Struthio camelus: one gene and its partner. The protein of the gene in region 2 interacts with the protein of the main gene of each other region in a pairwise test. Links are inferred from orthologs where the notes say so. Each region holds a gene or a part of one and is shown on either strand. Other genes may lie near its edges.

Region 1 (7,949 bases), on a different chromosome or scaffold from region 2:
TTATATACATATATATATGTCGTGCAGAGAGACTTCAGAGAAAAAGAAAGTCCATCAACAGAAAAATGAAAGGACTTCCATTCTGCCTAATAGACTTTATAGGTATTCTGTTCATCACAAAGTTCAAAGTATAAACTAAATAGCTTGCTTCGAAATTTCTATGTATAATCTTAGTGAACTAGATGAATTACTTTTATCCATTAATTTTATGAACAAGACAACTATATTATCAAGATGTTAGATCAGGTTCAACACCAGGAACAGTAACTGTTTCCTCAGGTAGTTGAGCTAACTTAGTACAATAAATGTGAACAAAAATAATTTTTTTCCTATTACTGCAATAATAAGAAACCAAAGAAAAATACCAAATATTCTAAGTAAGTCTGGAAAATTAATTGTATTAAATAAGATCTTGGAACAGTTCAACAATGCCAACTCCACTTTCTAGTAAGGAAGTGTTTAGTTGCAGAAAGAGGACTGAAAGTGTTAAAATAGTTCTTTTCTGAATTTCCCAATTTTATTTTTCTCCGATCTTTTAATGCAGGCATTCTTTCCTGTCCTTTCTCTGCAAGTGTGTTTCTCAGCCCACTTAAAATGTTTTTATCTTGCCTTCTTTTCTGTGCCTTTACTATCAAATTCAGTAGGTTTGAACGATGAACAGCTTGACTTAGCATATTTTTAACCAGCTGGTCTAGCACCTAGCTTGTATTGCATAGTCAGATACAACCAAATGTTTATACAGGAGGTAGCTTTCATGAAAATGAAAAAAAAAAAAAAATCTAAGCAACACGCATCCTGGCATTCTTTTATTTACCACTTCAAAATGAAAAGTTTGAATTGTTTATTGCAGCTAAACAAGGGACTATTAATAATGTTTAAAAATCAAGCCGGAGGGAAAGGATGCTGGATCATCAATGGATGTGTGTACAAACGTCTGAGAAAATGCTTCAAAACCTTTTGGAAACACTAGATCGTATGGAAGAAGGACTAAACTCTTGGAGGTCACGAGCCCTTGCCAGTGACAGAAAAAACTTAATTCCAAACATGCAAGGCTCCTGCTTCAGAAAGGGGGAGATGAACGTATATACGTCATAAATCAAAATCCCGCTTTTGACACTTAGCGAGCGAGGCAACAGCTAAAACTTAGAACCAAGAGTTTCACTTTTTCGAAGCCAAAAGGATGTTCTCTTGATGGAGGGCTGGGATGTTAACTTGCCTAAAAATAATCACTTGTGCTAGATCAACAAAAGGTCATGTGCTTTACTGAGCGCCTTCCAAAGTTTTACAGAAGGATCGAATGGGAAGTTAAATCCACCGCTTCCCCCGCCACCAGACATCTTCTGTCACCCTGGAAATCACTCTCGGAGGGCAGGGAGATGCTGACAATGAAGGCACTCCGCACCCAGCATCGCCTCCTGTATTTTAGTGGGCTGATTCAGGGAAAGGTTTGGGGTTGGAGGAGAAAGGGGGGGGGGGGAGCGCAGGGGAAGAGAGGCGAGCGAAAAAAAAACAAACAACAACAAAAAAAAAAAAAAGAGAGAGAGAGGGCACGATAGTGTCCATGAAGATCTCCACTCGGGAGCGGAACAAAGCTGAGTACCGGGGGAGCATCCCCGGCGCGGCGGGGCGCCGGCACGGAGGGTTCCCCTGCCCCACCCCCACCCCCCCCGCGCGCCCGCCTAACTGACACGCGATTTGAATAGCCAAGGTAACGTTCCGCGGGGGGGGGGGGGGGGGGGGGGGGTAAGAAGAAGCATCTCGCCGCCGTGCCGCCGGAGTTGCGTGCCCCTCTCTCGTGTGTGTGTGTGTGTGTGCGTGTGTGTGTGTGTGTGTTATGTGTGCGTGTGCACCGCGGACATCGCCTCGCACACACGCGGGCGAGCGCGCTAACACGCGTACTCAAATTAAACCCCCTCCCCGCAAAAAATAAAAAACCTACAAGACCAAAAAGAAACAGCAAAAAAAAAAAAAAAACCCACACATACACACCCCAAAAAACAAAACACAAACCCGCCCCCCCTTTCTGTTCCCCCCCCCCCCAACTCGACTCACCTTTCAAACTCCTGAGGTAAATCAGGGTCAGTTAGCATGCTGGAAAAGCACAATTTCCCTTTGTCACAGCAGCCACCTATGATCGCCTCCAACTGAACCTGTCAAGTGAGTCCAAACCTTCTAAACCGATTGATTTTCTCTCTCTCTCTTTCTCTCTCTCTGGCTCTCTCTCTCTCTCTCTGAGCTAGGACTCCTTGACCAGTCTCTTAAAGGGGTAGCACACTTCGCAGCAGACTGTTTATAAAGCTCCCCCCACAGCGGAGCAGCGTGCTGCGGCTGCAAGGCACTAGACAACCTCAGGGTGCCTGTCCTTTCCTTTTAATTCTGCTCTCCAGTCACCACAGAATGTGAAAAGTCAACTCATTTAATGCCCTAAAAACGAACAAAAAAAAAAGAAAAGAAAAGAGAAAAAAAAAAAAAGAAAAGGAGCGGAAAAAAGAAAGCCCAACAATCCACCTAAACCCGGCAAACCAGGAGCAAATCCCCTGCGCTGAGGAAGATCAGTGGAGAAAGAAGATAAAACAAGAGCAGACTGATTAAATTGAAACAGTTATCAACTGTCTCTGAGTTGAAATAGGGGAGAAAAAGATTAGACACATAAAAATGTTACCAAAGGCATTTGTACTCGAAAGAATTTTCATTCCTTTCTCTCCCCCCCCCCCTTTTAGTCTCTCTTTCTCTCCCTCTTTCTCTCTCTTTGAGAGAGAGAGAGAAAAAAAAAACACAACAATCAGGCATTGTTCTGAGGGAAGAAAAGCAACTTTGACAGATTGAAATATAGCAGAGGCCCCTTCAAGGAAACCTGTAAACAACTTGTCACTCACTCTGTCGGTCTCACTGTTAGCTCTTGCTTTCCACAAAGTGCTGCGAACCGTCCTGGCAACAAAACCAAAGTTTCCTCAGCTCCAAACTCCATCAAACAGCCCTGTTGTGTGGAAGGGAAAAGGTATCCACATGCCAAGACAGCGTGCGCGCACACGCACACACCCCGCGCTCACACACACACACACACACAGCAAAAATAAACTTTTTGTCTTCTAGGGCTTTTTTGGTTTTAATTCCCTCCCCCTCGAGCAAGCCGAAGGAGTCCCTCAGCTGTGGATCTCTTTAATTTCCTCTGCCCAGACAGCCACAGATAACAAGGTGGACAAACTGTGGTTTGAGAGACACCCCCCCCCCTCCGCCCCCCACCCCTCCTTTAAGCTGGCTGGCAGCACACGGCCTCCATTGCAGTTCCAATTATCTAGATAAAAATCTGGCAGGCGAGGAAGGTAATCAGGTAATGGACCTTTGACATGAAATGACAGAGGCGCACGCACACCCGCGCTCGCACATACACACAGGCAGAGACCGGGGCCGGCCGGTGCACTGCAGCATCTGGTCAAACGGCGCGGCACCCGCACCGCATCCACACGGGCAGGGCAGGGCAGCGCCAACCCTCCACATCACACACACACACACACACACACGCGCGGAGGCAGCGAGGGGAGGCAGAGGGAGACCAGCTCTCCACTCCTACTGGGAGGGCTCAGGCTGCACAAAAGGCGACACCGCAGAGCCCGCCCCGCCGCGGCGGAGCCGGGGGTGGAGGTGGCTGGTGGTGGTGGTGCTGGGGGGGGGAAGGCAAGCGGCTGCGGGGAGCCTGCCGTCGTCGGCAGGGCAGGTCACTGGATTAGGTCTGCTGCGGAGAATCCCACGAGGAAATTCCCTTCAAAGCCCAAGCGATTAACTGGGGGCTATTCTGGAAACGCAGCAGACAATGGCTCAATAGTCTGCACGGCCAATGTCCAGCCTGGCACTGAACTCGCGTTAGGCGCGGGGGGGGGGGGGGGGGAGAAGAAGGAGGGGGGAAAGGAAAGAAAAAAGCAAAAACTAAGTCTGCCTGTTCTTTAACACACACATGCACACACACCCACACACAAGCACATATCTATACTCCATTCTTTCCATTTCCCCAACCCTAATTCCTTTCTCTCTCTCTCTTTTTTTTTTTTTTTTTAATTTGCAGCTGGATAACATTAAGAGCCTTTAAAAACCATGAGGTTTTGACCTCACCACAGTTTGATTAGGTCCACTGCCCCCTCTCTTCCCCACTTACCCCTACCTCCCAGTCACAAGGAGAGAGCAAGTTTACTTTTCAAAATACGTACAAGTGCACGCACACATACTGACACAGAGCGGCCGTAAACCGCTCAACCTTTTCATGCCCACTGGCTTAAAAAAATTCCAAAAAGAAAAGGCTTATTATTTTTTATCAATGTCCAACAGCTCCGCTCTTTAATTTGTTTCTATTTACTCTCAACGCACGTGTGGTAAGACGGCAGGCTCACACAGGGGCCAGTCAGTCCAGCGCGGCGTAAAGGCAGCATCGGCCAGAGCACCGGGATGATCATTTTAATCACAAACAGCAAAGCCACTCGCAAGTTACGCGCATCCTCCCAAAAGAGCACTACACCATTCATGAAGCGAAACACGGCAGCTAAGTTTGCGAAGGCGCCTTCGTTATCGTTCATAAAAGGGTATCCGCGAAGACCGTCTCTCCAGCCTGCCTCACACCCGCGCTCAGAGCGGAGTCGCGCAGAATCTGTCAACTTCTGGCGTGAGGTACATCTAAGGGCTCCTCACCGTGGGGCAGGGTAAACTCGTTTCCTTCGGCAGCCCCTGGCACATCGTATTCGCCACAGAGGTTCATTCACAGCAGACTGACAGACCTAGTTAACGTGGACAAGGATTTTTTATTTTTTTATTTGTGGTTTAGGAGCGAGCCCTTTTAGGATAGCTATGAAATAGACATTGAAAAGGCTGCGGATGATTAAAAAGAACAATTGCAAATACTACTTCTTTCAGCTGAGGGTCTCAAACCATGTTAAGTCTCACATTACTCCTCTGCAGGTAATAAATATAATTAGGGCCTATTCCAAAACTTTATTTGTATTGAAAAGTATCTCGCTCCACAGGGGCTCTTTTCAAATCAGCAAATCTGTGTGGAGTAAGGGGCTGCTCAGTAGGAGAATTTGGCCTCAAATAAGGAAACTAAGATGCAGACAGGTTAAGTAGCTTGCCCATGCCGACACAGTTAGACAACTTCAGCAAAAGGATGAGAAACAAAGATCCCATGTGCCCTGCAGTCGGCAAGAGTCCCTACGCTGCTGAAACACGTTCCTCCCTGTGACCAGAAGTATATTTTAGCTGTTTTTTCTACAAAGGCATGATTTTTACATCTAACTGCTTGGTTAAAACGCACTTCAGAGATTTATTCACACTTTTCAGTATTTGTGAGGCCCCTTTTTCTTGGGCTTTTGTTTTTCTGTTGATGCACCATTGCCCCTCAGTACTTCCAGGATGCTGTTCCTCTCTGCCACTTTTTACTTTACTTCCCTTGCTTCCTCACTTACAGCCTTGGGAGAAGTCTGCAAAGAGAAGCCAGTCAGAAACCCCAGCTAGGGGAAAATGAAGATGACCTTTTAGTCAAAGAATTGGCAACAGTTTTGGCAGAACAGGACTATCACATTTTGACTGCATGTTAACGCCATTCAGCTCTCTTTTCATCTCACCTCTGCTCCGCAACTGCCTTTTTTCCACCACGTCCTTCCATCCTCTGTTCACATGTATTTACCCCTTCCTATGTCACTTCCTATATCAGCGGTAAGATCTTCGGGGCAATGAGGATGTACTCCTCCAAGTTTGTGCACAATGGGGCTCCTTCTTGGCTGGCTCTCAGCTACTATGATTATAAACACGAACAATCACCATCAATATCAGGAAATACGGAACAGGAATTTGACTAAACTAGAAAAAATACAAAGAGCCCTAATAAAGGGCCTAGTCAAAAGCATTCAGAGGAATGGTCTCTACTTCCTTTCTTCCATTTTCCCCTCTCCTTTTCAGCTCCCCCTCTTGCTCAGATATCTTTCAGATTTCTTCCCTTTCCCCCCTCCCCCCCTTACCTTAGTTTATAACATTTACCATTACCCCATTATGCTTTTTGCTAAGCTACCTACCTTATTTTTTCTGCAGCTATTGAGCTCCCTCTCCCAGTTCAGTGGGAGGAAACAGAGTTGGGTCCAACAGGAGAAAAAAAAAAAAAAGTTACTGTTACCATTGTATTTCTAGCTATAAAATTATGTTCTTGTAAGTTCATCTAACTGCAATTGCGAGAGGAAGATAAAGAAGGCCAAACAAATGGTTTTAGAGAATCTTTGAAACCTTCCTACAATCACATTGCGTTAACTTGAAAGACTTGCTTTTTAGAAACAGCAAGGACACATAACAAAGGTTGTTATCACAAAGTGGAAAAACTAACAAATTCAGATAAATGATCACTGACTGAGAAATAAGAAAATGTATGTAATATGCAACTGTCCAAATTTTAACATATGACATTTTACCTTGTCCTGAAACTTTTCACTGGCAATAGCAAGTCTTGATGCCCCTTTTTACTGAGCAGGTCAGTAGTTAGAAAATTCACTTGCGATGCAGATCTATGTCCAATTGTCTTCTCAAATCTGGATATGTAAGTTCAAATATCTTAAACTGATGAGAAAATTGAACCTTTTTTCCCCATTTCTCTTTCCCCACATCTGCTTCCCTTAAGGGTGCCCAACACAAGAAAGTCCAGGTAAAACGAGACAATTTGTGTTGAATTAAACAAAAAAGTTCCGACCTTCATTTAGATGAGGGAAATAAATTCAGCTAAGTATAAAAATTCATGGAAGAGTTTATAATTTGAGTTTTGTTGCTATAGTGGCTCTCCAGTTCAAGAGGTAAACCAAAAAAAAAAAAAAAAATCAATTATCCACCCTGCTCAAGTTAGATATATCTAATATTCCAGAGTTAAGGTATTTCTAATCCACAGGTTTTTATACCTTCATATTGGCGGAAAGAAAAACTTTAAGCTAAACAGAAACAAGTTCTTAAAATCAAATGATAATACTTCAGCCTAGTGCCTTTGGCAGACGCTACAATACAATAAGTGAAGGAAGTGCTGGAAAAAAAAAAGTGAGCTTTGCGGGCTTTGTTGTTTCCACTGTAAGTTTTAATAATAGACACCTACAAAGTCCAAGGAAATGTAAGATGTTCCGCACAATGATTTACTGGAAAATTCTCACAGAAAATATGCAAAACTCCAAAGACCCTTTCTTTTTAAGGCACGTATCCAAAACAACTACAGCATTAAAATTAATCTGTAAAATTTCTAAGAAAGGATGTTTTGGAACAGGTTGAGAGAGAATGGAGGGAGAATGGCGTGGGGTTGATGCATTTATTATGAAGAATATCTTGCAAATAATGAGTGCTTGCTTCAGAGTATGGAAATGTTTAGCTACAATGCAGTTTGGATCATATGCTTAGGAACAGATTTTTCCTTTCAGTGTGCATGCCTAACTGCCATTTCCATTAATGGGAATTAAGTACATGTGTCAAGAGGAGAAGTTAACTCTTAGAAATATAACTAATTTATGCCTTTTTTTTTTTTTAAATGAATGTAAATGCCACATCAGGCATGTTTGGTGTTGGCAAAACTCAGTGCTGAATATAGTATAGCAAAATCTGAGGAGAAGACAGCCTACAGAACTGAAATTCCTGTGCTATTTAGGGTTATTCAATTTACTGTATTTCTTCAAGGAAAAATAAAACCTTCTCATTTGCAAATGGGAAGCCCCAATTTAGCAGCTGTTTACGTGTAATTTCAGCAGTGGCCTATCATCTGCAACCCTCCCTGCAAAAGGGAACTGACACTATCCTAAAGGAGAAATACGAACCTTCAGCTAAAATTTGAATTCAAACTTCCCTAAAAGGTCACTAAACTTTAAAATAAAGATCCTAATCATTTGTTAAAAAATCAAGTTAGCACACTTTGATTCTGTCCACTCCACATTTACCAGAGTAAAGGAACCTCA
Region 2 (7,581 bases):
TTAACCGCTCGCGGCGTTTTGAACGGCCGGGCCCGCGCCAACCCCCCCTCCCCAAAAAAAACACCCGGGTTTTTTTTTTTTTTTCAGCAGGCGGCAGGGCGGGCCGGCAGCGTCGACGCCGCCGGTGAAACCTCCGTTTTTTTGCGGATTTTTTTGTTTTTATATATATATTTTTTGATCTATATATATATATTTTTTTCCCCTCCTGGGGGGACTCACCGGTGGCTCCACGATGGCTTCGTTTCTCTCGGTTTTGGGTTTGTCCTCCTCCGGCGAGGCCGGCTGGGTTTGGCTGGCCTCCTCCATGCGGGCCGGCTGCCCTCCGTCCGCTCGCCGTTCGGGCCGGGGCGGGGGGGCTGCGGTGGCGGGGTGGGGGGGCGGGTGGGAAAAGTGGGTGAAATGAGACAACGAACCAAAATGCGGTGGGGAAAAAAAAAAATGAATTAACGGGGATTATTCGGGCCGCGGGATCACCCGCCAGGCACCGAAATCGGCCGGACGGCCGATTTCGGTGCCTGGCGGGTGATCCCGCGGCGTGGGAAAAGAGTCAGCCTGACCCCCCCCCCCTTTTCCCCGGCGGGGCTCCCCTGCTGCAAATTTTCCAGTTTTACCAAAAAAAAAAAATCACTTTTTTTTTTTTTCCAAAGAAATTTGGGCAAATTGGGAAATTTGGTTTTTCACCCTAGGGAAACTGAGGCAGCGCCTGCTCCGGTAGGGTCGACCCCTGGGGGCTGTGTGGAGGGAGGAAGGGGGTAGCCGGACCCCCCCCTTCCCCTCCGGTGCGATCCGGTACCGGCGCCGCTCACCCGCCGCCGCGCCCGCGCCATGTGACACCCCCGGCGCGCCGCGCCCACCGCCCCGGCCTCCCATTGGGCGGCGCCGCCACGCCCCCCCTCTCCTATTGGAGCGCGCCGCCGCCCGTCCCCCCCCGCCGGGGCACGCCTCTCCCTCCCTGGCGAAGGGCATGCTGGGAGTTGTAGTCCTGCTGGCTGCACCCCCCCCCCCAAAATCCTCCTCCCGGTGGGGTGGGGAGGGGAGGACGCAGGGGCGTGCAAATGTGGGCGCGCGCATTCAGGGGTGTGCATGGCCGGGGGGGGGGGGCGTGCGTGTGCAAGTGGGTACATGCATGTGCAAGTGGGTGCACGCGTGTGCAAGCAGGTACACGTGTGTGCAAGCAGGTGCATGCATGTGCAAGCGGGTACACACGTGTGCAAGCAGGTGCATGTGTGTGCAAGCAGGTGCATGCATGTGCAAGCATGTGCGTGGGGGCCCCCCCCCCTCGGTGGGCGTGCATGCGTGCACACGGGTGCGGACAAGGTGCATGTGTGCCTACTATGGGTGTGCGTGCGGGCGCATGTGCGTGCACCTGCGGCCGCGCGTGCACGGGGCGGCGTGGGGGGGCTGCGCATACACGAGCGCCCGCAGGTCGGGGTGTGCGCCGGGCATCGTTTTGTGCTCAGCCACCTCTAACCGGCCACTGCTTTCGGCCCCCAAAACTGAGTTTTAAACCCCCTCCTCCAAAAAAAAGGGGGTTTTAAAGGGGGTGGGTGCCGGGGTGAGGCAGTTTGCTGCGCTGTGATTTCGCCGGCTCGGATTTGGTGCAGTGCCGGCTTACTGTCAGTGCGAAGAATTAAAAGAACGGCTGACGTTATTTCCTCTCTTTCTGGTTATTGCTGCGAAAGAGCAGGAAACGGGAGCAGTGGCCCCAACGCACCCTTTGAGGGGGGGTCGGGGGAGGGCCAGGGCGCCGCATGCTAGGGGAAAAGCGGCAATTTTGGGTAAACCGCTCAAAGCGGTGGGAAAAAACCGAGGCTTTGCAGCGCCGCCTTGCCCAAGCGCCCAGCGGCTCACCCGAGCCCGCCGGGCCTGAACTGGGCGGCGGGACCTCGCCTCCTGGGAAAGGGGCCAGGAGGGTCCCGGGGGGGACCCGGACCCAAACTGGCTTTTTTGCAGCATTTTTTTCAGGCAGATTCTGCTATTCTCCCCTCCTCGTCCAGGCCTTGGACCCGCTGGGCTCGGCGCTTCCCGGCAGCGCACTACGTTTCCCAGGGCGCCGCGCGGCTTTTGCGAAAAAACGCAGCGGGGTAATTTCTCGTTAGAAAGAGAGCAAAAAAAAAAAAAAAGAAAAAAAAAAGAAAGAAAAGTAGGGGAACAAAAAATAAAGTAAAAAAAAAAAAGCAGCAGAAGAGGAAGAATCAAAGCTTTGAGCGTCATGTCTAGGAATAGCACGGGAGCGCTGCCAAGTCATTACAGCGGATGAGTAATCCACTTAAGTCATTCCTCTAAAGCCCGCTCCTTGTAAGAGAATTAAAATACCGCCTTACATCAGCCAGCGCGGCCCGGGCGGCGGGCGCCGCCGCTGCCCCGGTCCCGGCCCCGGCTCCGGCCCCGGTCCCGGCCCCGGTCCCAGCTCCGGCCCCGGCCCCGGCCCCGGCGGCTCCAGCCCGCCCCGGAGACGGCTTTGTCCGGACCCGGGTGCTGGAGCCCCGGGGGGGGGGTGCTGTTCGGGACCCCCCCACCCTTATAGAGTAAAAAGACCCGTTTCCGCCACCCCCGGAAAGGTTCGTGCCGTCCTCGTCCCGTCCCCGCACTCAGGCAGCACTGCCGCTCCGTGCGTGCGCTGAGTGTGTCGGGCCTCAGCTGCGCGGGGTGTTGGGGGCGGGGGGGGGGGGAAGCGCTCTAGCGGGGCTGAAGCCTGCCGTCAAGTCGTATCCCGAAATCCTTCCCGGTAGCATCCCGAAGCTTTCCCGGTCCGGTCGCCATCGCGAAATTCCTCCCCCCTCTGCCCGGCCCCGGGTCGCCCGAACTCACCGGCTTCAGCGGGCGAGCGGCGGGCGGTGCATCGGCGAGGCCGGAGGAAGAGCGCTGTGGTTTGCTTGTGTTACTTCTATCGGGGATGAAGGGCTGGGGGATGAGTCATCCCCCACTCAGGGAAGTGGCGTGTGTGTGTGTGTGTGTGCGCGCGTGTGTGTGTGTGTGTGTGTGTGCGTGTGTGTGTACATGTGCGCGATTGACTCTTTCGTTACCGGAACGCCCGGACTTTTTGGGGCTCTCGCCGGCGGGGAGCCCGCTGCCTCGCTGAATGAGTGTGCAGGGATTTCCAGCGCGGTTCCCCCCCACCCCGGCCCGGCTGCTCCCGGCCCGGTGCCCCGGCCGGGTCCGTGGCCGCGGCCGCTCCGGTCCCGGTGCCCCGCGGGGACGCGCTGCCGGAGCGGGGCTGCCGCCGGGGCCGGGCCGGGAGCGCGGCTGCGGCGGGCAGCGGGGTCATCCTGACCCTTCAGCACCTCTCGCTTGCACATTGCTTTTCCTTTTTCTTTTTTTTTAATCAATCCCTTTTTGTTTCGCTTTGGACGGCTGGATTATCCCGAGGCAGCGCCGCCGGGCGCTGGCAAGAAAATCATCTCAAACCGGCCATTCGGAGCGGAGATGGACTTATCCGCGGCCAGAGCATCCGTGCCCGGGGCTGGCCGCGGCGCCCAGTGTCCCCAGTGTCCCCAGTGTCGGGGGGGGGGGGGCAGGGGACGTGGCCAGGTCCGAGCTCCCGGCCGGGCTCGCAGAATCCCCCTCCGCCTTGCGCCGGAGCTGCGAAAGAGCCCCAAAAAAAATCCCCCGTGAGTCATCCCGGACCCGGCAGCCGGGGGCGCGGAGGAAGCAGAAGCGGCGGGACAGAGGGACGCGGGGACGGGGCGGGGGGGACGCGGCGGCTGCGCTCGCCGGCTCCGCGGGTGCGCGGCGGGGCGCCGTGGGAAAACCTCGAGCCGCCGGCGGCGGGCGGGGGGGGGGGGGGCAGCGGGAGCCGGCGGGGTTGAGGGGTGCCCCGACGGGCCCCGACGGGCCCCGATGCTGAAACCGGGCGCCGCGCAGGGCAGAGATGAGTGGCGAGGTGTTTCCGACGGCGGCGTTAACCCTTTCGTTACCGGAAAGCGCGCCCGCGAGGCCTGACTCAGAGCTGCCAGTCAGAGCGAGAAAGAGAAATCCCGCCAGTAAACAGCCTCCGGGTCCTCCCGGGCTGGGAAATTCTTCAAGGGACGGTGAGATCGGGCAATATCGATTTGTACAAAAGCTCAGCCTCGGTTTCCCCTAGCACAAAGCGCACCGACCGGCTCCCTGCCGCTTTCCTCCCTCCTGCTCCTCCCGGCAGGGCACAAGGAGCCGCATCCAGCTGGGCAGGAGGGTTTTATAGTTTTTCTTCCCACCCGGCCGGACACTATAATAAATTCCCTTTTGTTGCCCGCATGCCACTAGAGGACAGTGTCAGGCTGGAAATAAATTGCATTTGAGGCCTGTGGGGAGTCAAGCACCCGCAGGGTGGGCGCCAACCCCTTTGGGAAGACGCGTCCTTGCTTTGGACCATGAGGGATAGGAAGGTCCCTCCCAAAAATGTGTTTTCTCCGTGTCTTTGCATGGCCTCTTTCTGGAAGACCTGCTTTAGGGAATGTGAGTTACTGAGCTCAATATACTTTGGTTAGGCAGCAGTCAGGCTAAGTCTGGCTCTGTCATTGGTGTGCTGAAAGGGGGCAGTGCTCAGCCAATGTGTAAAACAGGCAGAGACCCGCTGCTTTGCGGCAGGCTCCGGGCCGCACGGTGGTTTCATCCCACTCCTCTGAAAGCTGGCCAGAGAAATGGGCTGTTTTTCATGGAGGAAAGAGCCACCTCAGCAGGCAAGGAAAGAACAGGGCTGGCCTAAATTCCCCCAAACCCTGAATCTGCCAGAGGCACTCGGTGGTGCAGGATCAGTCTGGTCTCACATCGCATCCAAGGCTGCTTTGAGCTCAGACTAGCGACGTCCTAAAGCCTCTGCAGCCTCGATTATCCTGTGATGCTGCAGGGTCTCCGGCTGCTCCATCCTGGCACGCGGGCTTGCGGCCAGCAGCACCTTATTTTTGGTGCTGAGGGTGTGAGAGGCAGCTCCAGGGCAAGCCTGCAGCCAGGACCTACCGAGGAGGAGAGAAAGGAAAAAAAAGAAAAAAGAAAGGCGGGTGGTCGGAAAGCCCCGGGATGTGCCTGAGCGCACGTGGCAGCGAGCCAGGCCGGCTCGTGAAGATTCGAGGCCGCACTGCTATAACAGTGGCTGATGAGCCGACGGAGAGGTGCAACCCGGCTCCCCGATGGGTCCGCTCGCCCGAGCCGCAGCGCCAGGACGTAACCTCCCTGGTGGGTGCAGGTCCGGTCCCGGTCGATCCGGCTGAATTTCCCCCTGCAGTGATTTTTCCCCCCCCCGCTACTGGGCAGAGAGAGAAGGCCGCAAGGCGCAGTCAAGCCGACGGCTCCTCGCCCCAGCGATGCCTCGGCTGGCCGGGCTGACGGAGGGGGAAGCAACCGGGTCTCTCGCGAGGTGATGACAAGAGCAAAGCCGTACGCAGACACCTCCCTACATGGGTAAATGCTGCCCGATGCATCTGGGTTTAGGTATAAATACAATGCTTTATTTTAAACTGCATGTCTAACTATGTATTATGAAAAGAAAACCATAAACTATATCCCTGTACTTAGGTCCTGGGGGCACAAATAAGCTTTAACAGCCCTGAGCAGCCTCACCTAAAGCTTCACCTGCACCCATGGGTGCAGGGGCTCTATTTAAGCTCAGCTGGAGGCTTTTAGCCTCTATTTAGCTGTGCTGGAGGGTGCTGGTCTCCTGCCTGGCTGCAGCCATGCCTGGCTGTGTCCGCTGCCGAGCCAGCCCTGCTGGGGACCCCGGCGTGCATGCATGTGCACACGTGTGCATGCATGCTGCACTCGCCCAGCGCATCGGCTTGGCGAGGGGACAACTTAGTGGGTGTTTGCGGGAATAAATCCCTTTTAGGGCTTTTGGGCTGCTCCCTGGAGCATGCACCGAGCCAGAAGCCTCCTGCTCATGCTGAGCAAGGCCAGACCATCTGCACGGGCACCTCTGCGGCACCCGGGCTCGCAGCGGCACCTCTGACACGCCTCTCCTCCCCGGCACATCCTGCGCAGCCCTGTTCGAGCCGGCCCCCGTGGCCACCGCCGCCGAGCCCGCTTCCTGCGCGAGCGAGGCAGGAAGAGCGAGAGGTTCCCGGCCGCCCCAGGAGGTCCCCGTCCTCCCTGGATGGAGGTGGCAGCCTGCCCCAGCTCATCTCTTTCCCCCTAAAAACACCTTGCCCCATGGCTTTCTTCCGGCGACTTTTCCGCTTGGGCACGGAGAAGAAGAAGCCAAGGCGCTACCAGCATGTCAGGCGGGACGTCAACCCTGAGGACGCGTGGCTGGTGCTGGGCGAGTTGGGCGACGGCGCCTTCGGCAAGGTCTTCAAGGTAGGCGACGGGGAGCGAAGGGCGAGCGGCCCGGTGCCGCCGGCATCGCAGCTCGGCGCAGGCTTCCCGGCAGTCCGGCCACGGATCAAGCCCGTTCTCCTGGGAAAGAGCTTCAGAAAATGCCTGCAGGACTTTGTTTTGGAAATGGCACCCTAAATGCTTCCTTTTTTCTCCCCTGCAGCCGTGGTCAGTGCCACCTTATAGCCTTATAAGTGACGGTCATCGAACAGCATCCAGCACGCGCTGTGATAAGCTGGAAAGCCTCCAAATTGCCTTGGGTTTTTAGTGGCTCCCTTTGCTGGGAGGGAGAGGGCACACGATGGGGACGCTGGGGACCCCCGTGGCCTTGGGATGCAGCCGGCGGCTGCCTTAGTCCTGTTCGCTGGCACCGAAAGAGCCACCGCTTTCCCGGGGTCAAGCAGCTCCTCGGGCACAGGGCAATCGGGAACGGTCCCTTTCCAGGGTGCAAATGGGTGGCAGGAAGGACCGTTCCCTGGGGTGTTTCTGCATGAGGTTGGTTGGGGTTTGTCCCCTCCCCTCTTTTTTCAGCAGGAGATCCCAGAGCCGGGCACAGCAGGAACGTTTACATCCTTCGTTTTGCCGTGAGTTTGAGACAGGGCTGTTTTTTAATCTCTTGTTGTCACCACAACCGCGATGCAGAGGCTGAGCTCAACAGGAAACCCGCCGTGCTGCTCCCCGGGGCCCGCGGCGCCCCAGCAGCAGCCGCCTTCCGGCTCTGGGGCCCATCGTGCAGAGCCCTGGCGTGGTCGGTGCACTTGTGGCACCGGGAACCCTCCCCAGGCTGGACCTGGCCAAAACCAGCCTCTTGTTTGGGAAAATTTCCCTCTTGGCACCGACTTTGTGGTGGCAGCCATCATCTGTGAACACGTCACGCTTGAAAACCGCAAGGACTTCCTCTAGGTTGGGGAGATGCGCCTGGTCCCCGCCAGCCATGCTCTGGGCTGGGGCAGGGACCCAAAATCCTGGCTCCTGGCCTGGTCTGCTAGAGGAGAGGGGCTATTCCAGGCTCACGATACAAGCCAGGGTCATGGCATGATATAATATCATAATATGGAGCACCCTATCGCGATAGGACGTTTCATTGAAATGTGGCCGGCTAGATCATCTTGCGACGCCACGTATCACGTCACAACGCACCGCAGCACACGACGTAGCGCATGCTTGCAAAACCTTTTTTCCCAACTGCCTTAAACGTCTTTTCTCCAGGCCCAGAACAAGGTGACGGGGGCCCTGGCCGCGGCGAAGGTGATCACCACGCCGAGCGAGGATGAGCTGGAGGACTACGTGGTG

What was found.
Region 1: the proteins of ARID5A (region 2) and SOX5 interact in a two-hybrid assay, tested with the Homo sapiens proteins (2 studies listed by BioGRID and IntAct). The two-hybrid records come from large-scale screens. The link is inferred for Struthio camelus from reciprocal best matches to the Homo sapiens genes ARID5A and SOX5.

Annotation. Positions count from the first base shown.
Region 1 is NC_090942.1:74,910,252-74,918,200, reverse strand, and holds the start of SOX5 (transcription factor SOX-5), read right to left. Parts: upstream 3,098-7,949; 5' UTR 2,969-3,097; coding exon 2,877-2,968; intron 2,388-2,876; exon of another isoform or gene 2,091-2,387; coding exon of another isoform or gene 2,053-2,090; intron 1-2,052.
Region 2 is NC_090968.1:1,207,098-1,214,678, reverse strand, and holds the start of ARID5A (AT-rich interactive domain-containing protein 5A), read right to left. Parts: upstream 3,020-7,581; 5' UTR 2,812-3,019; intron 357-2,811; 5' UTR 307-356; coding exon 220-306; intron 1-219. Other genes in the region: STE20-like serine/threonine-protein kinase, read left to right, coding at 5,704-6,270, 7,498-7,581. UniProt on the Homo sapiens protein: DNA-binding protein that may regulate transcription and act as a repressor by binding to AT-rich stretches in the promoter region of target genes.